Elephas maximus indicus: one gene and its partner. The protein of the gene in region 2 purifies or fractionates together with the protein of the main gene of each other region. This does not show direct contact. Links are inferred from orthologs where the notes say so. Each region holds a gene or a part of one and is shown on either strand. Other genes may lie near its edges.

Region 1 (7,627 bases), on a different chromosome or scaffold from region 2:
AGAGGGACGCACTCACCCCCCCTTGCGCCAGGCCCGCCGCGCCCCGGTGGCTCCGCCCCCTGGCGCTCCCCGCCCCATTGGTCCGTCCCAGGGCGCTCCGCCCCCACAGCGCTCCAGGCCCCCATTGGCCTGCCCCCAGGCCGCCCCGGCCCCATTGGTCCGCCCGCCCTCTTGGCCCTCCCCCAGCTCACATTCTCGTGCTTCAGGTGCTTGAGCAGCCGCAGCTCGCGGTACGTCCTCCGCGCGTGGATCAGCGACTGGAAGGGGCGTGACAGCTTCTTCACCGCCACCTTCTGGCGCAGCCGCGCGTCGTAGGCCGAGCTGGAAGGCGGGCGAGTGAGGCCACGCCGACGGGTCTGGGCTCAGCCCTGGCCCCCCGCCCCAGGCCGGCACGCGGGGAGCCGGGAGGAGAGGGCCGGGCCGGGCGCCGAGCCGCCGGCCGCCTGAGCGCCTCTCCCTGGCCCCTCCGCTGCGCCGGGCCCCGCTCCCCGCATCCCATCCCGGGGCCTGGCTCAGACGTGAGCCCCTCGGGCGGGGCCTCTGCCGGCTGCCGACGGCAGGGTCGGGGCGAGAGCTGGGCTGGCTGGCGTGTGGCTGGACAAGCCCTCCTCCTCTGCGTCCCGTCCACACCTACTCCCTCCTCAAGAGGAGGGTCAGCTCCCACCACCACCAGCAGAACGAGCTACCCGGGGCCCCACCACAGGACTCGGTTCTTTCGCCTCCTGCTTCCCAGCCCACGGACTCTTCCCCCAACGCAGTGCTAGGCCCAGGAAGAGCCCCCGCCAGCCAGCGTGCAAATGACATGTCAGGAAACGTTCCTCTCCGTCCCTCATGGCCCCATGGGCTCTGGGAGGCTCCCCAGACCTCCCCCCCAAATCCCCTGGACTCTCAACACCTCCTCTGGGCCCTGGTCCTGGAAATATATTCAAGATATGGAGGGAAAACTGGTCAAAGGTGTTTATTGCATCATTATTTTTAACAGTGTAAAAGTGGACGATGTGAAATGTTCAGCCGAGAGTGGTGCCTGGACACACGGAACATGTCAGCTTGCCCAACCCCACTCCCCACAGGTCCAGACTGTCTGGCACCAGCCCCTCACCTGCCTAAGGCCACCTGAGACACAGCAGTCCCTGCTACAGTCCTCAAACACAAATGGGACAGGGTCATCGCCCACCCATCCATGGTCCCCACTGTCCTCACTACCAGGACCCGACTACTGAACGCAGCTTGGAGCCCAGGCATGGAGGGGTTTGCACAGCCTGTTCCTTTCCCTCCCTCCAGCTTCACTTCCTGTCTGCTGGGCTCCCTCCCCCTATCCTCAGGAAGAGTGAATGGAGCCTCAGGCTGTCCTGATAGGGCTTCCATGCTCATGGGGGATCAGAGTGGTGGTGGGGGGGGTGGTACAGGGATGCTGGTCAGGTGCCTGGGGTATCCATGCCCCCTCAAGCTTATGACCCACCCTACAATGGTCCCAGCACCTGTGGGGGGGGTGATGAGGCAAGTGGCCCCTCATCTCTGGCAGCAAACCCTTTTGTCTGATTGCGTCTGCGCAGTGGAGTTGACAGGAGTCCGCACCCCATCCCCAGCTGCTGCCTGCACCAGCAGAGCCCAGGACAGGGCTATCCCCCTGCACCGGGGCCATGCAAACACTGCCCGAGATGCAGCAGGAGAAATCCACTTCCTCCCCAACTCCCAGACTGACAATTCCCTGGGCAGAGGTGAGTCCAGTGTGGCTCTGCAGGTCCCCCGGATGCACTCATGTATTGTCCCAGACCCTCCCCCTGCCCTTGAAGACCGAGGCCTCAGGCTGGAATGGCTGAACCAGCTGAAATGGCTTGCCCGAAGCTCCTGACAGCCTGCAAGGACCAGTGAGATCAGCCTGCGGACCCCAAGCCTCTGCTCTTGACTCCAAGAAGCTACGAGGAATTGCCCCTCCTAACGGTCTGCAAGAGCCTGGAGCAACAACCCGCCACACCCTCGTGGCCCCTGCCTCCCCCTCCAGTGGACGGCAGCCACCTGGCAGCAGCGCTGGTAAAGACCCTACTGGGTGCTGGGGCGCATCTCTCAACGTCCACACCCAAGCATCAGCCTCAGCCTGTCAACATTTAAACATCGCCTCAGGGCTCCCTGTAACCACCTCATCCTAAGTCCTCTCCAAACCCCAGTACCAGGGGAAGGAGGCCTGCAGGCGTCCCGGACGCCCCACGCAGACTCGACCATCTGACAGGGCCCCAGGCTGGACGCCTCAGGGTCCAGCTGCAGGGCTATCACCTGAGCTCCCTTGGTTGGGGCAGAAATACGTGGCTGCAGATCCCCTCTGCTCTGGCCTAAGCCCCTACTCCGGAGCCTGATCCCCCCGGAAAAGGAGGAGGGGCAGGGCCCGCGGGTGAAGCCTGAGACCGGCCTAAGGGCGGAGGTCTTCATCTTTTCCCACCTGGGCTGCCCCTTTTCAAACAAAAACACCCACCGGGGAGCAGGGGGGCCGTCTGCAGACCCTGGGGGCTGCCAGACCCTTGACTCAGGGAACGTCAGATTCGTGCTCAGGCCTTCAGGGGCTCGGGAAACCCACCCTCTCGCAGGATCCGGGCCGGGGTGGCGGCGCTCCGGGTCGTGCTGAGCCAGAGGACACCCCCGCCCAGGTCGGGAGCGGCCTCTGGGAGGAAAGTTTCCTTCGCGCCCCCCATTCCTTCCTCCGCTCGGCGCCGGGCCGGGGGCGGGGGCAGGCGAGGCCCCTCCCCACGCCGGGGCCCCGCAGGGGGGGAGGGGGCGCACTCGGCCCCGTCCCGCCCCCACCCCGCCCACCCCCGCCCCGCCCCTACCAGACCGAGCCGTAGGCGCCGGAGCCCACCGGGCGTAGCCCCTGCAGCCGCTGCGGCACCTCCCACACCGTCTTGTTCAGCTCCTGCCGGTAGAAGCCGGCGCGGGGGTCCGACATGTCCGGAGCTGCCTCCTCGGCCCAGTTTGGCCCCGCGCCGCGCGCCGGAGCCCGGGAGGAGCCGGAGGGCGGCAGGAGGAGGCGGTGGGTGGGGCGGGACCGGCGGGGGGTTTCCCGGGCTGGGTGGCCGGGGGCGGGGGGGATTCTCGGGCCAGCGCGCGGCTTCCTGCCCCTCTGAGGCGGCGGTCGGGCGGAAACCCGCCTGCCCTCCCCCTTCTGGGCGGCCTCGCAGCCCGGGGCGGTGCCGGGGGCGGGCCCGCGCGGCCGCGGTGGGGAGGGCGGGGGGCGGCTTCCTCTCTCGGTCCCCTCCTACCTCCTGGGGCCTCGCGCTTCCCCCAAACGTCGCCCGCGTCCTGTCTCCGGCCTGGGCACCGCCTTGTCCAGGCCGATGCTACCGCCTCTCCTCGCACCCCCCGCCCGCGCGGATCTTCGCAACCCCGCAGCCTGTTTGGGTCCCCGCATCCCCCAGACGTTTGTGGCCCGCACCTCCCACAGCCTGCTGTGGCCAGCCTGTTCCCATGCCTCCCAGCCCCCTTGGGTTCCTGTACCCCTCAGCTTGTTTGGGTCCCCGCATCACCCAGCCTTTTGTGGCCTGCACCTCCCCCAACTTGCTGTGGCCCGCATCTCCCTCAGCCTGCTTGGGTCTCCGCACCCCCTATCCCGCTCGGATTCCGCACTCCCTGGTCAGCGGAGCCTTGGGGCCCCGATGCGGATCTGCCCGAAACCTCGCCTGCCTCCAGCCCCGGATCCCACATTATCTCTTCTCCCCTTGATCTGTCCTCACCTCCTGCCACCTGCCCTGCCCCTTGCCACACTTACGGGGAAGGTGAGGCGTGGGCACCGAGTCTCCCCAGTGTTACCCTCAGAAACCAGGGAGAACTGTCAAAATCGAGGAAGCCAGGGGTGAGCATTGGGAAAGATTTTTCATCAAGAAAGTTTGTTGTTGTGTGGCGTGGAGTCGATCATGGCTCACAGCGACCCTGTAGGACAGAGTAGAATTGCCCCATAGGGTTTCTGAGGAAGCAGACTGCCACATCTTTCTCCTGCAGATTGGTGGGTTGGAACCGCTATCCTTCCGGTTAGCAGCTGAAACTCTTAACCACTGCTCCACCAGGGCTCCTTATCGAGAAGAAAGGAGATACTACTTAAAAACTAGGTGTCTTGTTTAAAAAATCAACCAAAAAGGCCCTTAGACAGGGCCACTGCCTCGGTGGCATATGGCAGTGCCTGGTTTCCCTTCCCGTGGGGGAAGCTCTGGCCTTGGTGGTTGTGGCTCCTCTCCTGGTGAACCTTCCATGGCTTGCTGTCGGCCCTCAGCAGGGGTTCCTGCTCATCGGGTTGGCCCGGGAGAGGCGTGACCGCCGGGGCCCAGGGACCAGCTCTGTCAGGACCAGGGACAGCGGCTTCGAGGGGGCGGGGCGTTTGGGGTGCTGTGCCTACGAGGAGGGTACCTAAATACATCATCCTCCTTGGTGTCTTCTACCTCCTTCCCACCTTTCAGGAAGCTCCCTGGCTTTTCCCGGGAGTGAGCAATCCGCCTCTGGGCTGCAGGGGCTTCGAATTCAGCCCTCGCAGCCGCAGAGTAGGTGACGGGAGTAAGGGCCGGTCGGTCCCTTCGCGTGGCCTTCAGGGTTTAGTTCTTACAGCCTGCTTTAACCCGGGGCAGGTGAGTGTGTTCGCCGGTCCACCAAACGTTCTAGCCAGCGTTTTTCTGGCGCTCTGGGCCTCAGTCTACTTCTGTTTCCCGCTTTAAAAATAACGTGAGTTCGGAGAAGCTCTTTGCTCCGTGTGGCTCCTGACCTCCACCCTGGGGGCCAGTGAGGGTGCTGGGGGATCCTGTTCCCAGGGAAGTGGAATTCAGGCCCCAATTGCCCAGACTTCTACTTTTTCAAAAGAAGCTCAAATCCGAGTTTTTGTGTGAAATCTTATGAATTTCAAATATTGGCAACCAAATTAAAAAATGTTAACGCGGTACAGAGGAAAACGAACACAAGTGCCCGGCGAATCCAGACGTGGGGCGGGCGAGATGCGGACAAAGGCTGCGGGGTCCGAGTTGCACCGCGCGGCCACTGTCCGTGACCCTGGGCAAGTCCTGAGCCATGCTGGGCCTCAGTTTCTCTTCCGAGAGTGGGTATCTGTTCCAGGGCCTGGCGCGGGCGCGCTGCAGTTGGGGGGGGTGAGGACGCCACTCTCCGACCCCGAGCCCGCGGGGCCTCCCTGAAAAGGCCCCCGCCATGAGGGGTCCTTTCACCAACGGCGGATGCAGGCAGAGGTTTTGTGCAAAGTTAATGGAGCTTCAGCTAAAGGAGGAAAAAGGGGCGGGAGCCGAGGCCTCTGGGGTGTGGGAACTGCGGCCTAGAGGCCACCCGCGGGGGAGGGGAGCCGCCAGTGTGTGCGTTCCCATGGCGACCGGCCCCGCCCCTACCCCGCACTGTGGCCGGGCACCGCCCTTCGCCCCTTATGGGGGCTGGGCACCGCCTCCTATCCCCCAATCCCTCCCGCGGCCCGAGGAGACCCCGCCTGCCCCGCCCCCGCAGCGCCCCCAGAATCCCGGCGGTGAGGGGTTAGGGCAGATCAGGACTCAGCGGCCTGGCAGAGTGGGGACCCTCTCGTAGGCCTCAGCAGACGTACACTGGGCGCCCCCGGATGCCAGCAGGCTGGAGAGGCCCCTGGGGTGGGGGCGATTGAATGGTCTGGAGCGACTACTGGCGGGTTTGGGAAGGTGGTGAGTGCTTAGAGACCGCCCACCAGGAAGAGGGGACAGTCGGGGCCTGGGGGAATCAGGGAAGGCCCCCGCCCCCAGGAAGCCATGCAGGGAGAGAGGCACCGCGGGGAACCCGAGCAGGCCCGAACTCCACTAAGGGAAACAAAAATGAGGGCCAGGGGCGGGGTAGGCGGGGGGGTGGGAGGGATGGCGGTGGGGGGGTGGGGCTTGGGGGAGTGCTATAGGTGGGGGAGGACCAGACGTGGTGGGGGCCGGGTGAGAGGCAGGCCTGAGGATGGACACCTCCAAGGGGTGCCTTCAGCCCAAGAGGCTCCCACCCAGGCCAGAACCCTGGCCTCCTCCTCCCAGACCACCCCAGTCTCCCTCCACCCCTACAGTGTCCCCCCTAAATATCAAAACCCCACCCTTTCTCTCTGTCTCCACTGCCCTCCCACCCATCCAGGCTCCCACTGGTCTCCTAGACCACTCCTGTCTGGTCAGACGTTGCTTCTCTGCCGTCAGAGCCTACTTCCTGCACAAGCACATACCCCATGGTGGGGAGGGGCGGGAGGTCACTCAGCAAAGAAAGAGGAGGGGCTGCTTAGGGGAAGATTCACCCATGGCTCCGAAGCAGTTGCCCACTTGCGCCACCTCCCCACCTCTCTCTCCTCTCAGGTAGACCAGAAGTGGCAGGAAGGGCGGGCAGGCCTCTTCTGTTGGCATCCTGACCATGCTGTCCTGTCCACCCCTGTGTACCCCATCATACACCACCAAATTTTGCTCCTCTGTTGGCCCTAAGAAAGGACAGCCCCCAGGTCCCTTCACAGTCCTCACTGTCCTGAAAGGGAGGTGAGGGGTGAAAACCTCACCTAAACTTAAGACTGTTGGACCTGAAGGTCTTACCCCAAGCTTCATGGGGGGAGGGGGCAGGTGAGGGAGTTTCTCACTGAGCCCTTCCTTCTCCCTTTTCCTCTTGCTTGGATGCTGAACGGGGTGGAGGTGGAGGTGGCTGCAGGGGCCGAGTCTGGAGGCCAGACCTCCTGGTTCCCAGCCCCCTCCCCCACATCCCCAGCTCAGCACCCCCAGACTGTGTCCCCGTTGCCTTTGTCCATGTCTCTGCTGCCCCATGGTCTGAATTCACCAGGCACATGAGTGACACCTCTTTTGGATGCTCTGACTGGCCTGGTCTCTGAGAAGGGGGGTTGTCCATTGTATGTCTAGTATGCCTTCCTTGTTGGAGACATCAACCCTTGTTCCATGTAGCTTGAATGGGGCTGCCCCTTCAGGGGTGGCGCATAACCAAGATCTAGACCTTCAAGAGATCCCCCGCAACCAGTGACATGTGGGGGGGGGGCACAGGCCTGGGCTGCCTGCCACCAGTGTCCCTGCTGACACCAAAGACACCTTGTGAGTATCTGGATCCAGCCATAACTGAAGCTGTGAGGCTGCCATTTCCTTGTTATGGAGCTACCAAATCCCCTTTCTGCTTGAACTGGAATTCTTTGACCACAGTGGAAGTTCCCTGAGGGCAGTGCCTTGTCAGTTCTGTTGACTGCTGTGTCCCCAGTGCCCAGAACAGTGCCTGGCACAAAACTAGTGCTCAGTAAGAATGTATTGGATGGACAAATGGCAGAGGCCTGTGCAGCTGGTGCTGCCATGTGAGCTTATGTGGCATGTACTGTGTGTGCACGTGTGTGTGCCACGGGTCCCACTTGTGCGTGCATGTGTGCCGTGTGTGCATGTGTGCCGTGTGCACATGTGTGCTGTGTGCCATGTGTGTGCATGTGTGTTGTGTGTGTGCATGTGTGTGCAGGTGTGCTGTGTGTGCATGCGTGTATGTGTGCCATGTGTACACGTGTGCCATGTGTGCATGTGTGCCGTGTGTGCATGCGTGTATGCGTGCCATGTGTACACATGCGCCACGTGTGCGCATGTGCCGTGTGTGTGCATGTGTGCTGTGTGAGCATGTGTGCCGTGTGCGCGCTCAT
Region 2 (6,619 bases):
ACAGGCCTGGGAGCAGAGCCCTGTGGCAAACCAGGTGGCCTTAACAGGCACACACCCTTTCAGGAGAGAGAAGATTAGTGGGACGGCCAGGGCCCAGTGAATGGCCCCTCCCAATGAGAACCCCACCCCCACCCCCAAAGAGAAAAGTAACAGTCGCAGCAGAGGCAGGTTCCGGAGCCGAGCCGGTTCAGCCCGAAAGTGGCGGCAGGTTTAATAGGCACGTTTAATAGGCTCCTCGCTGATGTTTCAAGTGGGCAGGACAAGGCTCTCCTCCTCACCCCTGCTGGTGAGACGAGGGAGCCGGGAGCCGAGGGAGCCGGGCCTTTGAGTATCCCAGGCCCCAGCCCCTGCCTCTTTCCACCGCGCCATGTGAGGTATTGTGCTCCCTCCCCCAGCCTCCTGCCTACAGCTGAGCCCCCTCCCCGAGTCCCACCCCACCCGCCCCCTCCCCCGCCACGTGAGGTGGTCAGGAGCACCCGTTGAGAGGCGGTGGGCATGGGGGGCCTTATGTGGGGTCCAGCTCAAAGACGCCATCGCTGGTGGGGGTTGTGAAGAAGGAGGGTGGGTCATTGGAGGTGGTGGATCCCTGCCCCCCACTGTCGCGCCCCTGCGAGCGCCTCTCCTCCAGCCTCAGGCTTCGCTCGAAGTCCAGCAGCTGCCCCATGAAGTTGAAGTTGGGGGAGATGTTCGACTTCTTCCTCTTGACCAGGTCATAGGCATCATTGAGGGAGAGGTGGAGCTTCTGCATGAGGTAGGCCACGGTGACAGTGACGGAGCGGCTGACCCCAGCCAGGCAGTGGACGAGCACCCCGCAGTTCTGGGACAAGGCCTCATCTAGGAGGAGCCAGGGGAGGGCAGCCTGCCTGAAGCAAAGGTCCTCCCAGCCCCCGCTTGCCCTGTGACCCAGTGGCCATGCCAGGTCAGGCCTCTGGGAGCTGGCCCCAGCCCTGCGCACCACCTTGAAGTTGCCATCTTGCTTTCTGGGGAAGGGCAGCTAAGTGGCCACCTGGTCTGCCTTACAGAATGGGAGGAATTCTCTGAGGAGGGACCGGGAATCAGGTCTGGGGGGTAAGGGGGGACAAGGGGTGACTCACCAATGAACGCGATGGCCTCTGGGAAGAACTGGGACAAGTTCTGGCTCCAGTGGTCTGAGATGGGGATCTGCTTGTAATGGAAGTCGCCGTTCTTCTCGAAGAGGTTGGGGAGGTTGGGGGTGACGTTGAGAATGTAACGGATGCCCAACTTGGCCAAGCTCTCCAGGTTGGCTGAATCCCGGGCACTGCCCAGGTAGAGGTTGGGCAGGATCTGGACAGGAAAGGATGGCAGCAGCCCCGCTGGGGGAGGTGTGGCACCCTCTGAATCCAGGCCGAAGCTTGTGGGGTCACGTTCCGGCTCAGATTCTGCGTCAGAGCAATCGGAGCTCAGGTACAGGCCGCCTAGCCCCACGACGGGCACTGGCCCGGGTGCCTGGGCTGTGCTGGGGCCGCCATGGCCCTGGAGGCTGGTCTCACACAGGTGAGGGCACTCGGCCTGGAATCGGCTGAAGCCACCTGTGCAGGGAGAGGGAGGGTCCTGCTCACCTGGCTGGGGATAGGGAGCTAACCCCAGATGCCCCCAAAGGGAATGAGAAAGCCTGCAGCTTGATCTATACTGGTGTCCTCATGTGGATCAGGAGTCGCCCCACAGGCTGTGGGCACCCCCGCCACCACCCTGAATCTGCAGCTGCGGCTGCTGTTGCAGAAGGAGCCCAGGGAGACTGACCCAAAGTGGACCATATTCAGAAGGGAGCAATGGGCGCAGACCCAATGACCCTCCTTGGCCACCAACTGAACTGAAGGGGATGGGAAAAACTGGTCCTGTAGGCTCAGGGGAGCCCTGTTCCTGCCCTGGATGTTGGGGAGCAGCTGCATTCCCCCTCTCCCAGCCCCGCCATGACTGTATGCCCCAGAGCCTGGGAGCTGGTCTCCTGCTGCCCTAAGAGGTGGCGTGACAACCATGGGGAGGCCGGAGAATGTGCCAAGCTAGGTCAGGTCAGCCCAGTTCTCCTCATTTTCCAGACTGAGAAATCGGGGCTCCCAAAGGTGAAGGACTGGGCCAAGGTCATGCTCAGACCCCCAGCCCCCAGCTGCCTGGCAGGGAGTCAGAGAGGGAGTCTTACCTCCACTTTGCCCAAGGACGAATTAATTATGAATCCCCAGGGCGGGAGGGGCCCTACCTCCCCAGGCTGGGCTGCAGACACTTACCCTGTAGGTAGTAGGCTAGGTAGCCTTCCTCCCGCAGCTTCTGGAGCAAGGTGCCTAGCACCGACTCGGCTTCCCACTCCTCAACGGCCTCAGCTTCAGCCTCCCCGCGCCGCCGCCGCCCGCCGCCCTGGTCATACAGGAGCACGGGGGCAGGTGGGGGCGGCTGCAGCGGCGGCCCAGGCAGCAGCGCGCGCACCGACAGGCTCCCCCGGCGCAGGCGACGCAGCAGCAGCGCTGGCAGGGCCACGCTCAGCGCCCCACCGATGCGCGCCGCCTCGTATAGCTCACGGCTGCGGCAGTCCAGGAGCAGCAGCTGCGGCCGTGGGGGCGACAGCTCGTGTCGCAGCCACAGGCAGGAGCGACCCAGGCCCTCCATCAGCCCCTTGCGCTTCTGGCCACCGGCACTGCGGAGGAAGGGGAGGTGGCTGTGAGCCCAGGCGGGCGAAGTCGCCTCTGCTTCCCAAGGCAGGCGTCCGGGCCCGCGAGGCACCTCGCCATCGCCGGCTCCTCTCCTCCCACCACCCCAGCCAAGACGCACAGGAGGGCGCCCCGAAGGAAAACACGCGGTGTCCGGCACTGCTCCCTGCTCTTGCGAGAGGAAGGCTGGCCATCTGGTGGCCCCTTAGACGGCTGTGGATCCCTCGCCAGTCCCTCCAGGGACACCACAGGGCCACAGCCACGGCCCTTCACACCCCCTTTCTGCGTCTTTCAGCCTGCCAGCGATCACTCCCCAAGTTCAGGCTTTTGAGTTTGGGTGCGTGTGTGTGCTGGGGGCGGGGGGGAGTTCAAGGCCCAGTTCCCCCCGTCCACGGCCAGGCAGGCCCGGGCACAGAGGTGACACCCAGGTGACGGGCCTCGGCGGGCCCTCTTGGAGCTGAGGTGTCCTGATTTCCCCAGGGAAGACAGGACAAAAGGAGAGAGACCTGGAGTTGGGATCAGGCGGCGAGCAGCCACTTTCAGACGTCGTGGCCACAGCGGGGCGTGCGGCGCTGTCCCCGGGCGGCGAGTCCCCAGGCCCGGCTGCTGGGCAAGAGGCAGGGCTGCTGAGGAGGCGCGCACGTGGAAGGCCAGGCCGGCTCTGCCAGCGCTCCCGCCACTTGCTGGCCCTGGACCCAGCTTCTACTCTGGAAGCCGCTCCTTTTGGATGCGGAGCCGCAGCTCAGAGGGGCGGGGCAGGGGCGGGCAGGGGAGGGCTCAGGGTGGCCAGGGAGCCAACAGGTTCCAGCGAGAGCAGCTGGGTGGGCCCTGCAAGTGGCGCGCTAAGCTGGGGCTCCCACCAAGGCGGGACACGATGGGGCAGAGGCCAAGGGCAGTCAGGGGCCCAGGAAGGACTGGTCAAGCACAGCTCCCCTGGTGGCGCCACTCGGCCAGGAGGTGGGGGAGGGGTGGGGTGAGGCCCAAAGCCCAGCGTCCCTGCCCCAGGGGTTGCCTCCAACCCAACTGACTCAGTGAGTCTGGACCTCAGCGGCACCATCTGTATAGTGGATGCACGACAGCCACCACCTTGGGCTACTGTGGGATGCCGCTGACATCGTGGAGGGGAGGAAGAACCGGGATCGGAAACCCACCACTGTCTTTGGCCCAGAGCTCCCACCAAGGGCTAGGCAGGCAGAAGGCAGCCCCTAGGCTCCCCCCGTGGGCTTCAGTGGGACAGGCCTGGCCGAAGGCACCCAGAGGCTCTGACCTCCAAACCCCACCCCACCACACTCTGCTCCTACCACATTGCTCAACTCCTCAAACACATCCACCTTCTCAGCCAGCATATCCACCCAGTCACCCCGGCCAGAATCCTGGGAGTCACCCCTTAATCAGCTCCCCGCTGCCAGAACTCAGCCTTTCATTCAGCAAGGGCCAGTGGGCTCCATCCCATCCATAGGAACAGGGTGATAAGCCAGGCAGAACACACGGTGCTCAGAGTCTAGCAGGACAGACCAGCAGCAAACACAATAATGTCAGGTTGGGACAAGTGCTGAGACAATGAAACGGGACAATGTGATGGGGGGTTCTAAAAAGGTGATCGGGTTTGTCCCTTCTCTGCTTAAAATCCATGAAAAGCAAATCACAGTGTTGAAGGAAAATGTGCAGCACGTAAGACAAAGCTCGGAAATCAATCAGAAGCTTAAGACCAGGATTGATAAATGGGCAGGAATAAAAGAGGAAATGCAACTGGTTCGAAAATGTTTGGGGAAATGTTCAAGCTCAGGCATGGAGGAAAGCAAACCCAAAAAACCAGGTAACACTCCCCACCAACTACAGTAGCAAAATCAAAGCATTTCAAAATAAGAATGCCTAGTGCTGGCAAAGTTGCTGTGCAACTGGTATGCTGCTGTATTGGCGGGTAAAACCCTATTGGAAACTAATTTGGCAATATGTATCAAGAAAAATAAAAATATCCTTTCCCTTTGACCACTTCTGGGAATCTACCTGAAGAAAATAAGCTAAAAGAAGGAAAAGCTATCCACAGCAGGACGGACACCACAAAACGTTTTTTTAAGGCGTGAAAAATGCCAAGCAACCTGAAGTCCAACGTTTAGAGCAGTTATGTACGTATGCCTGTATGTCTGTTGAAAACACTGGTCTCATGAGCCAATAGAGCAAGATGAGAAAATGCTTGGGAGGTACTGCTGAGTGGAAGAGAACAGATCCCAGAAAGCTAGGCCTCCAGTTTGCCCCTCCCCCAGTGGGCCTCCAGCCTCGGACTTCTGGAGCACTGTCAGTGGACTGATCTCTAGCCATGCCCCATCATGTCCCTGCTTAAGAACATGCAAAGACCTACCCTCCCTGGCCTCCAGGGCGGTTTTACTTAAACCGCCTCCATGGGGGGAGGGTGGCCTCAGGCAGCTGGGCCATGTCCCCCTTTCTCTCTTGCACCTTGGTCCCTGCCTCCAGCATAGGTCTTCCTCTGCCATCTGTCCAGATTCTGCCCATTTTTTTGGACCCCCCCACAAGGCACTCTCCTTCAGGCATCCAAGAAAAACAGGAAGTCTCACGGGCCAGCTGTGGTCTCCCTCCTTGGTGCTCCCTGAGGCTGTCACTCCAAGAGCCTGCAGATTGGGGGCTCATTTGCCCCTTTCTCGGTGCGCTCCTGGGGCTCTTGTCTCTCACATCCTATCTCCAGGGAGGCATATGTGGGCACCCGCTGCAGCTGGGGACAGGACCTTGGGATGGGCAGGGGCTGAAGGCACCAAGGAGATTGCCCAGCATAAGTCTGCTGTGGCCAGCGAGGAATTAATTGGAGAGACATGTGCCCTGACTGGTCCTGCCATGGGGACTCAGTGTAGTTGGAGAGAGTGTCACCAAGCTCTGGGAGATAGGAGCTCCTGAAGCGTCTAGGGTGCTCTCTGGACAGGACCCCCTGGGGGTGACTGGAGCTGCAGGGGATGCCTAGGTCCCAATAACCCCCTGGGAGGACGGAGCCTGTGTGTCCCAAAAGCTCCATTGCGGGTCTATTGCTCCAGACCCCTGCTGGCGAGGCCTCCCACGGAGGAGCCGGTGGCCGGCTGTGCCTCGGTGGTTCCCGGCAGCCCGGGGAGGGAGCATTTAGGAGTGGGGGGGATTCAATCTCGAAAGTGAGTGCTCGGCTCAGTGCCGGCGCCAGCAGCGCCCGCAGCGCCAGCAGCAGGACGAACGAGAACCTGTTGCCATCTCCGCACTGCAGGGCTGAGCGCCGCCAAGCGCCCCCCCACCACGCCGAGGCCTCCCCGACTCCGGCCCCCTGCAGTGCCTGCTTGGGTCGCCGGCCCTGCCTCGCGGCCGCTCCCGGGAAGGCTCGGGCAGGGGAGCGCGCCGGGCGCCCGGGCCTCGCCAGGCCCGCTCTGGCGGGCGGAGCCAGGCTGCCGGCGGCGCGCTCGCCGCTCTCCGCAGGGTGGGCGCTGCACTCGCCGCCCCCGCCCTCTCCCTCTCAGGCGGCCCGGCGCGGCCAGACCCACCGGATGCCCCTGCCTTAGCCCCACCTGGCCAGCAGACCCTGGAGGCCGTAGGGGCGCCGCCGCCCTCAGGCCCCGCGCATACCGCCTGTGCCCTCTAGTCCGGGAGTCTCCGGAGAGCGGCGCCCCTCACCCCGAAATGCACCGTTCCCACCAGGCACAGTGGCAGGATTTCGGCTGTGGCAGCCTGGTCACATGGCCAGGAGTACAACTCCCAGAGACAGCGCTGCTGCCAAATTCAGTCTCTTTGCCACCAAATCCACTTCCTGCTGGGGATTGCTTTCTGGTTTTCCTGGTCTGTCCCCTGGCGGGACTGGGAGCTCCTCCAAGGCAGGCCAGTGTGTGCCCGGCCCCCAGCTGGCCCCAGCCCCACTGCCGACGCTCAGGAAGAAATGCTTGCTGACAAAGAAGACATGAATGAATGAATGAATGAAACCAATTGTTGCATGA

The links.
Region 1: the proteins of DUSP9 (region 2) and MAPK11 purify together in Homo sapiens (affinity purification with mass spectrometry; 4 studies listed by BioGRID and IntAct, with this or other methods). This does not show direct contact. The link is inferred for Elephas maximus indicus from reciprocal best matches to the Homo sapiens genes DUSP9 and MAPK11.

The regions. Positions count from the first base shown.
Region 1 is NC_064822.1:196,618,760-196,626,386, forward strand, and holds the start of MAPK11 (mitogen-activated protein kinase 11), read right to left. Parts: upstream 3,047-7,627; 5' UTR 2,936-3,046; coding exon 2,820-2,935; intron 322-2,819; coding exon 192-321; intron 1-191. UniProt on the Homo sapiens protein: Serine/threonine kinase which acts as an essential component of the MAP kinase signal transduction pathway.
Region 2 is NC_064846.1:2,702,233-2,708,851, forward strand, and holds DUSP9 (dual specificity protein phosphatase 9), read right to left. Parts: upstream 2,620-6,619; coding exon 2,244-2,619; intron 1,551-2,243; coding exon 1,095-1,550; intron 835-1,094; coding exon 506-834; downstream 1-505. UniProt on the Homo sapiens protein: Inactivates MAP kinases. Has a specificity for the ERK family.